Arabidopsis thaliana: one gene and its partner. The protein of the gene in region 2 interacts with the protein of the main gene of each other region in a pairwise test. Each region holds a gene or a part of one and is shown on either strand. Other genes may lie near its edges.

Region 1 (3,991 bases), on a different chromosome or scaffold from region 2:
TTTATTAAACATCTCGTGTGGGCTTTGAGAGACTCAGGGATCAATGTCTTCAAAGACAGCTTCAAGCTTATAGGAAGTGGACAAAAACAAGAAGTGTTCATGAGTATAGAGAACTCGAATATCGCGCTTGCCATCTTCTCAAAGAGGTATTCTGAGTCATATCGGTGTTTGAACGAGCTTGTGAAGATGGAAGAGCTTGCCAAGGAAGGAAAACTCGTGGTCATTCCAGTCTTCTACAGTGTGAAAACAAACGAAGTGAGAAGACTTGAGGGAGAGTTTGGAATACATTTTAGAAACACAAAAGAGAGATTTGCTATGGAACCAATGATGGTTGAAAGTTGGGAAAAATCCTTGAAGTCATCTACTGTTACAGGGAGGATTGGCTTGAGCTTGGAAGCACACATGTAATAGAATATTTAATAGAACTCTTGTTTTGTAGTAAGATCGACTTTGTGGTAAGGTCGTCTAATCAGTTTCTTTCACTCATTTTGCAGGAACGAATTTGCTCTTGTCGGTGCCATTGTTAAAGAGGTTACAAGATTACTACCAAACTCTCCAAAGAAGAAGAAGAAGAAGAAAATTAGGTATTGGAGAAGTTTTCTTGAGGGCTTTGACTGCTACATTTATCTTTGCTGTCTTCATATACCCTATGCCTATGCCTGATGTGAACTTTTTGAAAATTGGTAAGTTGTTATTAGGCTTTCCGTTTTTGGTTGTTGTCTTGCACAAGATTTTATGTTAATATTAGAAACAAAATGATGTTTTCTCGCTTCTGGCTTGTGGACGCTAACACTATATGTAATGTTGTGACGCACATCAGCTATGTCTATTTGAATGTTATCTCTACGGTTATTTTGTGATGTACATAGTAAACCAATCCATGTCCACACCGCACTGTGTTGAGAGAAGATGGTGATTATCAGAATAGAATTACTATCAGCTCAAATTTATCATCTTCAAAGACGAGAAATTTGCATCCAAGGAAGAGTATAATGTGTAAAGGAAAAGGAGAACCGATACATGCTACGATAAACCAAAGGATGCAATTCAAACAAAAAAGCCAAGGTTCCCTAAATGAGAAGACCTGCCTTTCTCGCAATCTTGGACCTCATTTCTTCTCACTAGCATTCTCAAGCTCCTTCTTTAACTGACGCGAGAAGTCGTCACTGACATCATCATCATCCCAGTCATCTTCCCACTGCAGGCTAACTTCCTTCACTTCCTCTTTCTCCAACCAATCTGCCAAACATAACAATAAAAATATCCATCTTTATCAATTCTTTCAATAAAGCTATTTGTTAAATCTCAAGACTGAACTAACATTGCAAAGCAAAATCTGTTAAAATCAGAAACTGATCCTAGCTTAAGTTGAATTGTACAACTCTCCCCCAAGCTACTCAATGCCCCCAAATAATTCCTAAATCCACCATAACCTTTAGGCCCTTTAGCTCATGAAGCCTTGCCGATTAATAATGCAAACATAATCACCAGTAGTTTGCTCATAAAACTGCACTATTATCCATCAAGTTTATGAGACCGTAGCTTCATCATCATAAACATATATCAAACAGATCCGTTTTCGCATCAGAACTACCCAACTTCATACAATAGAGACTATCTTAGTTTGTATAAGACAGTGCAGAATCAAAATTTGTATTTATACCAAAACCTAATCAATCACCAAATCAGTTGCTAATGAAATTTGCTCTTATCTCCATTAATTTTATAACCGATGATGAATCAATTTCGAAAATCAAAGAAGCAATTAGTATAAAACAAAAAAATCACCTTCGTTGATTTCAAATTCCTCGAACTCATCGTCGTCCTCGAATAGATCCACCTTCACCACTTCGACAGCTGCCTTGGGTTCTGCCGCCATAGTTACAGATGTTTAAGCAAATCAACCAGATCGAGAAAAAAACCTAAGAAGAAGATCACCAAACTCGATTAATTCCTCCAAGTTAAACCCAACCAGAGCTCTTTAAACGAACCTTTTTTTCGTTTTGGGTCTAACTTGAAGAAGGGGAAAATTACCAATTTCCAATAACCGACCCGAATCTTATATGATTCATACCGAATCCGACCCGAATCTTATATGATTCATACCGAATCCGACCCAATATTAAAAATATCCGATTGAGGTTTAAAAGAAGCTGTTTTAGACCGGTCCAATAGTCGCATTCGTCTTGACCAAATCCATGACATACAAACCGGTCCAAAAGTTGTCACGCTTTCCCCACAGAACCCAGCTGAGTCAACTCGTTAGTCTGAGTTAACTCGCTAGGCGTGACAGAGCAGTGAAGACAAAGCAAAGTCCTTTTTCGGATTCCTTCTCTTTCACTATAAGATGACATCCCTCATTACCATTTTTCCTTAAAGCTCACTTTTTCTTCTTTAACCTTATCGCCACAAAACAGCGACATTCGACGCCAAATACATAACATCGTCGTCAACAGGTTTTGTCTCTTATCTTCTTCTCTGCATGAATCATGTTCTTGTTAGACATTTTCTGAGTTCTGGGTTTGATTTTGGCCCAATGATCCATAAATGTTGAAAATCATATTTGAAGGCTATGAATTATGAACATTTTATTTTAACCTTTTTCTAGCTCTAATGAGATAATTAAGTAAAACCCTACTCGAAATTTCTGAACTTTTTGATGCTTTGATTCGTTTCCTGTGATCCTTTACCTAGAGAAAATTGAGATTGATTATGTGACAAGTGACCATCTATAAGAAATCTCTCAAAGTTTTCAACTTTACTCACTCTATTGAGGTGAAAAAGAAAAATTGTGCATTCTGAAATTTTTATTCTTTTCGTTTGTCATGTGAATTTTCGTGTTTGATTTTTTATTAGTAGCAAAATGGCTAGGTCTGGGGTTGATGAGACATCAGAATCTGGAGCTTTTGTAAGAACAGCATCAACATTCCGCAACTTTGTTTCACAAGATCCTGATTCTCAGTTTCCAGCTGAATCAGGAAGATACCATCTTTACATATCTTATGCTTGTCCATGGGCTTGTAGATGTCTTTCTTACTTAAAGATCAAAGGACTTGATGAAGCAATCACCTTCTCGGTTAGTACAAATTCATTGCTCATATCGAATTAGAAGACTTTGTTAACCTGAAGCATTTCTGTTTTATTTGATTTGATTAGTCGGTTCATGCCATTTGGGGAAGAACCAAGGAAACTGATGATCATAGAGGATGGGTTTTCCCGGATTCGGATACCGAGCTCCCTGGAGCTGAGCCTGACTATCTTAATGGTGCCAAAAGTGTGAGAGAACTCTACGAGATTGCTAGCCCAAACTATGAAGGGAAGTACACTGTTCCTGTAAGTTTTGATCTCTTTGGTGAACTCTTTAATCTTTCTTTGTCCTGTTTCTTGAATGTTTGTTTTGTTATTATGTTAGGTTCTTTGGGATAAGAAGCTTAAGACTGTTGTTAACAATGAGAGTTCAGAGATAATCCGGATGTTCAACACTGAGTTCAATGGTATTGCGAAAACCCCGTCACTTGACCTTTATCCTTCTCATCTCAGAGACGTAATCAACGAGACTAACGGATGGGTTTTCAACGGAATAAACAACGGTGTTTATAAATGTGGGTTTGCAAGGAAACAAGAACCCTATAATGAGGTATATATCCCTCAATGTCTTAAACATTTGAACAGGGATTCAAAAATTGATCCCTTTTCTCTCCAGGCAGTGAACCAGTTATATGAAGCAGTAGATAGATGTGAGGAAGTACTCGGAAAACAACGATACATCTGCGGAAACACTTTCACTGAAGCAGATATCCGATTATTCGTCACTCTCATAAGATTTGATGAGGTATATGAGTCAACTTGTCTTCTTTGTTTCCAAATAGAAAATCCATCAGGTTCTTGACATCATCTTTTTCTGCGTTCCAGGTTTATGCAGTTCACTTCAAATGCAACAAGAGACTCTTACGGGAGTACCCGAATATCTTCAACTACATAAAAGACATTT
Region 2 (5,526 bases):
AGATCACCGTCACGACGTCGTTTGTTACGAACACTTCCGTCAACTTAACACTTGTTCGTTGTCACCAACATATGAAAAATCGTGGACTGCAAAGTCTGCAATCCGAAATCCAGACTACACTACCAAGTAACTTCCGCAGTAAGAAAACAAAATATGGATACTGGATACAACAAGATTAAGGAATTGAGGAGCTTGTTTGGATATGATTAGAGTGTAAGAATATATTGACCCATTACAAATCTACAATTATGAAAATTACATTTTGATTGTATGGATTAAATAGTTGGCAGTTGTAGCTATCAAAGAGCCCGGGTATTATTCTACAGATTTTTGTCATTATTAAGAAGTTAATGAATCGAACCAGAAACACCTATAATTAAAAGCATAACATGAGATTGTTTTATTCAAGAAAATGAGACCTAGTTTGGCAGAGATAGACTAATGTATCAATACACATAATGGTCAATACACATGTCCTGTTTTCATTCTTTAGATATTTATGACTGCTTATCTATCATTTAATGTAAATTATGAATGTGGATTTTAATGGTATGCATCGCCTGGAGATGATAGCATTTCACATGGTCAATTTCTAATAATGACCCACCTAATACAGCTAGCTATAACTACAAGTGTTCAATTCTTAAAATGCGAAAATCTCCCAAACACAATTAAACGAAGTTGAATTTGATCTTCTGAAACCAACAAGATAAATATCTTTTCCTAAAGTGAAACCAGAGTAATAAAAAGGTTCCTGAGGATAAAAATCCTCAATAAAGAAACACTTAGAGACGATGAGAAGAGTACCAAGTAAACTTGTGAACATAAAAAAAGTGAGACAGATGGAGAGTCAACTCTTATAAGAAATAGATGACCTTTGTCTAAAAATCATCATCGTCTTCCTCAGCCATATGCTTAGCAAGCTCTTCTTCCTGTTGCTTCCTCTCTCTCCTCTTCTCATCGCTTTCTTTCTCCTTGTGAGTGTTAGGAGGAAACCTCAATGCTCTGACAGCTTCGTTATGCATGTTGAGGCAGAAAGCAATTCTTGAGTTGAACGCAGTTTGTGGCTCATTCGTCGAGTAGATGTCCCCAGTTTCTTTGGAGACCATGCATCCGTTTTTGTGATCGATTGTAGCATCAATAGCTCCGTCGCGTATGGCCTTTGCCACGATGCTTTCCGCATCAGCCACAGGGTTTTCAGAGTTGAGCCTCAGCTTTTTGGCAACATCGGGTAAAGAGATTCTTGAGTAGGAGATACTTATGTTCCGCAGTCCAGTCCTGATGACATTGTGGCGGAGTCGCACGATGAGATTGTGCGTTCTGTCTTGAGCAAATGTGTCCAAGAACTTCTCCTGGACTGTCCTAAACAACTCCAAGTCCCCAATCCTAACCGCCTGTAAAATCAAAACAGAGCTTTAATAGTAAGCCTCAGATCAAAATCAGTATCAACTATCCAGTTGCATCATATATCTCTAAAAAGCAACAGTAAACAGCCAGAAATTCATGTTCAATATAATTCGAAGGAGCAGAAAACAACAGCAGCAACAAAATTGTGTTTCAAGTGACCACAGAGAGATTTTAACAGAAGAGGTGTATAGGCCAGTAAGTGAAAAGTAGGAACCGGTTTAAAATCAGAAGTGAAGTAGCAAGATCACAAGTGACCACATACTAATACCAGTTTAGTTATCCGCTCATAAATTAATGAATACATGTCACAGCAGCAAGATTATGAAAGTGGACTCACATTTGTTAGCTCGAAGTAGGGTCTGAGGGCCTTCTCCATACCCTTTTGAGTGAAGATAGAACGCTCTGGTATCTCACCCAGCAGTAGACGAACCAGAATTGCCCATTTATTGCATTGGATCCTGAAGCCCAAAGCTGCTATAGGGGCTTTCCTGGCCGCCTGAAGAAGGCTCTCTTTTGCGTCCGTATATTCGAGCTGAATAGTACGAATCTTCCCGAGATAGAAAAGGTACCTACAAAACTGCAAAGTATAATGTTTTAGACAAGTCATCTTGCTGTTTATTCTTTTGAAACAGTAACAATTGAAGGGTTAAAAAAAGAACAAAATTCATATGTAGCAAAGAAAAACACAAGGTAGATCGATGGTAATGGTAAGAGGTGGTGTCAGAAGTATGAAAAGGACAGGCAAAATGGACACTTCAAGTAAGTTCGGCAAATAATTAGTGATTGAAAAGAAAACACAAGAGCCTCCTAGATGGAAAATGCTATAGCGAATAGAAAAAATAATTCTCTGGAAAGATTGCAGAAGTGGCATTGGAGTTTTCATGCAAATATAGAATCTAGAGAACCGAGAAAACTTAGAGTATGAAGGAATAGCCAAGAGCTACCTGTTGGTTTGAATGAGCCTCAAAGCGAGGTGCCTTTGATCTTAGCTTCTCTGCCTGATCATAGAGGTTGTAATGCAAATAGTTACGTAGCAACAGGTTCAGAAGGGTTTCCTGCATTCAACATGATAAATTTGAATAAGAAGCAAGTAACAGTTTCAAAATAATGAATGCCGACTGAATGAGCTAAACAAAGACATACCTGACCCAGCTCATCGTGTCTTAGCGTTGCAGAATGATGCAACGCAAGAAGAGTACTGCAGGTAGAAAAAATGACCAGATTATTAACTATTGAGCTACTGATTAATATGAGGTGTAAGACAAAGTACAAAACTAAAACAGTCTTTGAGCTACTAACCCGCGAATTTCAGCAAGATCACCGGTTTGCTCATAACTCAAAGAATAGTAAAAGTAGAGTCTTGATGCTATCACATCAATGGTCCTTCGGTTGACGTTCTTGAGACGAGCAATGCTTGCTGAAGAACAAGCTTTAGCCTAAGAGATGATTAAAAGCAACTCATTAAAATTAAAATCACAACAGAAAAGTAACTTATGACAAAACACAAAGATACAGCAGTAGTTACCTCGTTGTACTTCTTCTGATCAATCAGAAAAAGAAGAACAATGAAGTAGCAGTAGATCTCGAGCTCTGCAGGTAGATGCTTAGAAGGAGCAGCTTGTGTGGCCGATGAGGCAGTATCAACTTCCATGTCATGTTCATCACCCTAAACCATTAAAAGTTCCAATATTTCAGTCTCTAAGCCAGTTGTATGTTAGATAACTTGCCATTCACAACATCAAAAGAAAGTATAACAACCATAACACGAATCTAAACAACCTAAAGCCAGATGCTAAAAGGAACAACCAAGTTGAGAATTCTGAAACATCAAAGTGAAGAAGTAAAACCCACAAATACCTTAGGAACAAAGGAAGAGAGGCGAGAGTGAGCTTCGGATCCTGGAACCAAAGCAAAATCCAGGAAGGAAGAGAGCACAGAGCCGGTGAGTTTCTGCCTAAGCCCTATAGTGAGACGCACAGCACGAGCAATACGACGAACCTCCTTCGTGTAAGACCCAGTATCGATGAGTGCTGCAATCTCCTTCAAATCTGGGAAACAAAGAAACAAAGCGTCAAAACCCAGAAGAAACTTAGCAATTATGAAAACAGTTCGAGAATTAAAGCATTCAGATCGAGATTTACTCTGCATAGTAGAGGTAGAAGAAGAGATAATCGATTGAGAAGGGGTGTTGTTATCTTTCATCTCCACGTCCTGAGTCATCTTTGCACAAATCTCGTTACTCTTCACAAAGACAAAAACAAGGTTAGGGTTTTTGCAGAAGTATGCAACTAAGCCGGTGAGATTTCAAGGAACCGATTGAAGTTTCAACCAATTTGTTGACTGAGAAAGACGGAGAGATAAAGACAGAGAGCTTACTAAATCGATAAAACGGAATTCGCCGGGAGAAAGTGACGATGATGGATCAGATTTAAGGACGAGCTGATGCTGCTGAGACTCTTTTCTTTCCTAAGTATTTTCCTTTTTTTGGACACAACAAAAAAAGTATATTTCTTTTTGTTCAAGACAGCTTTTTTCCATATTAGTATTTATATCTTCTACATTACGATTGAGCAACAAATGTCGTTGTAGTATAGTGGTAAGTATTCCCGCCTGTCACGCGGGTGGCCCGGGTTCGATCCCCGGCAACGGCGATTAACTTTTTGGTTACTAGTTTTGTTTGGACCTCTCTCACTTATTTTCGTACGCTTTCTTCGAATAGCCCAAAACACAACCAGCGCAAGTTGGGTTAATTTCTTTTTGTCTCAAAACACGTTGGAACTTGGAATTACAATTTTATTATTCATTATTTTTTCTTGTTATCTTTTTATGTTGTTAGAATATATAATCAACTGATATACGAACCAATGGAAAAAGGCAATGCCAAAGGGGGTTGTTTACTTGTTAGTGTCAATACGCCGACGAATGTAATTGGAGTCAAACAAATATCCAAAACTCAAAAAAGAGACAAAACTAGAAAACTCTTGAAGGAATAAAAACTTGAAAATCCAAGATCCATGATAAAATAAATGAGGATATATATAACCTAAAGCGACATGAACGAAAGATTATTCTACGGCAACAAGTTGCTTTGAAGAACAGAGACAAAAACATGAGAATGTAAGAAAGATCCAACTTCATTCAATGACCCTGGTCGCTCATGCAGCAGCCTGGATAGGTGCTCCATTTGATCTGTTGAATCCACCACGGCCTCCTCCTCTTCCACGACCTCCCCTTCCACGGCCACGTCCTGTTCCAACAATTTTTAAACATTTACAACTCATCATTATTTAATGAGAAAACATTAGTGTAACAAAATCATCAACGTACCACGTCCCTGAGGCGGAGGACCATCATATCCATGGTCTGCTGGAGGAGCAACATTGTTGTATCCATAGTCTCCTCCATCTTGTTGAGCTTCATAGTAAGGTGGTGGGGGGCCATTGTAACCTCCTCTTCCTCGACCACCACGTCCACCTCCTCTCCCACGCCCGCGTCCTCTGCCATATGACCGGTCCTGCTCCATACCTCCATCATTATACTCATTGTTCACATATCCACTTCCTGGCAAATCCGAAAGAAGAAATAGCACAAGCCAATCAAACACTTGTCCGCCGATCACATGCAAATATGTTAAAAGGTAAAACTAAGATTTGGAAAGAAATATTCTAAAGCAATTCTACCTCTGCCGCCTCTTCCCCTTCCTCCATCATCATACTCATTGTTCACATATCCGTTTCCTGGTAAATCAAACAAAAAAAGAAATAGCACAACACATTCAAACCCTTATCCACAAATCATATGCAAAAATCTATACTCAAATACGATTTGGCTAAAGATATCCTACCTCTGCCACCTCTTCCCCTTCCTCCATCATCATACTCAACATTCGCAGGTCCATTTCCTGATAAGTCGAAAAAAGGAATTAGCACAGTCCACTCAAACGCTTATCCACAAATCACATGCAAAAGCTTACAACGAAACTACGACACTGTATAAACAATTTCTAAAGTAATCCTACCTCTACCACCTCTTCCCCTTCCCCTTCCTCTTCCTCCTCTACCTCTTCTTCCTCCTCTGCCTCTAGGAGATCCGTCTACAAGAAAGAGATAATTTAAAAAC

The links. The genes of interacting proteins can lie anywhere in the genome.
Region 1: the proteins of EMB2719 (region 2) and DSS1(V) interact in a two-hybrid assay, tested with the Arabidopsis thaliana proteins (one study listed by BioGRID).

The regions. Positions count from the first base shown.
Region 1 is NC_003076.8:18,166,343-18,170,333, forward strand, and holds DSS1(V) (DSS1 homolog on chromosome V), read right to left. Parts: upstream 2,042-3,991; 5' UTR 1,880-2,041; coding exon 1,789-1,879; intron 1,240-1,788; coding exon 1,109-1,239; 3' UTR 664-1,108; downstream 1-663. Other genes in the region: AT5G45000 (Disease resistance protein (TIR-NBS-LRR class) family), read left to right, coding at 1-404, 495-663; AT5G45020 (Glutathione S-transferase family protein), read left to right, coding at 2,864-3,076, 3,157-3,333, 3,413-3,637, 3,704-3,832, 3,913-3,991. UniProt on the Arabidopsis thaliana protein: Subunit of the 26S proteasome which plays a role in ubiquitin-dependent proteolysis. Also associates with the TREX-2 complex that is required for transcription-coupled mRNA export.
Region 2 is NC_003070.9:7,000,528-7,006,053, forward strand, and holds EMB2719 (PAM domain (PCI/PINT associated module) protein), read right to left. Parts: upstream 3,906-5,526; 5' UTR 3,784-3,905; intron 3,649-3,783; 5' UTR 3,628-3,648; coding exon 3,549-3,627; intron 3,456-3,548; coding exon 3,265-3,455; intron 3,074-3,264; coding exon 2,933-3,073; intron 2,844-2,932; coding exon 2,707-2,843; intron 2,606-2,706; coding exon 2,551-2,605; intron 2,463-2,550; coding exon 2,352-2,462; intron 1,985-2,351; coding exon 1,745-1,984; intron 1,395-1,744; coding exon 882-1,394; 3' UTR 560-881; downstream 1-559. Other genes in the region: AT1G20220 (Alba DNA/RNA-binding protein), read right to left, coding at 4,563-4,654, 4,735-4,968, 5,088-5,144, 5,252-5,308, 5,426-5,500. UniProt on the Arabidopsis thaliana protein: Acts as a regulatory subunit of the 26 proteasome which is involved in the ATP-dependent degradation of ubiquitinated proteins.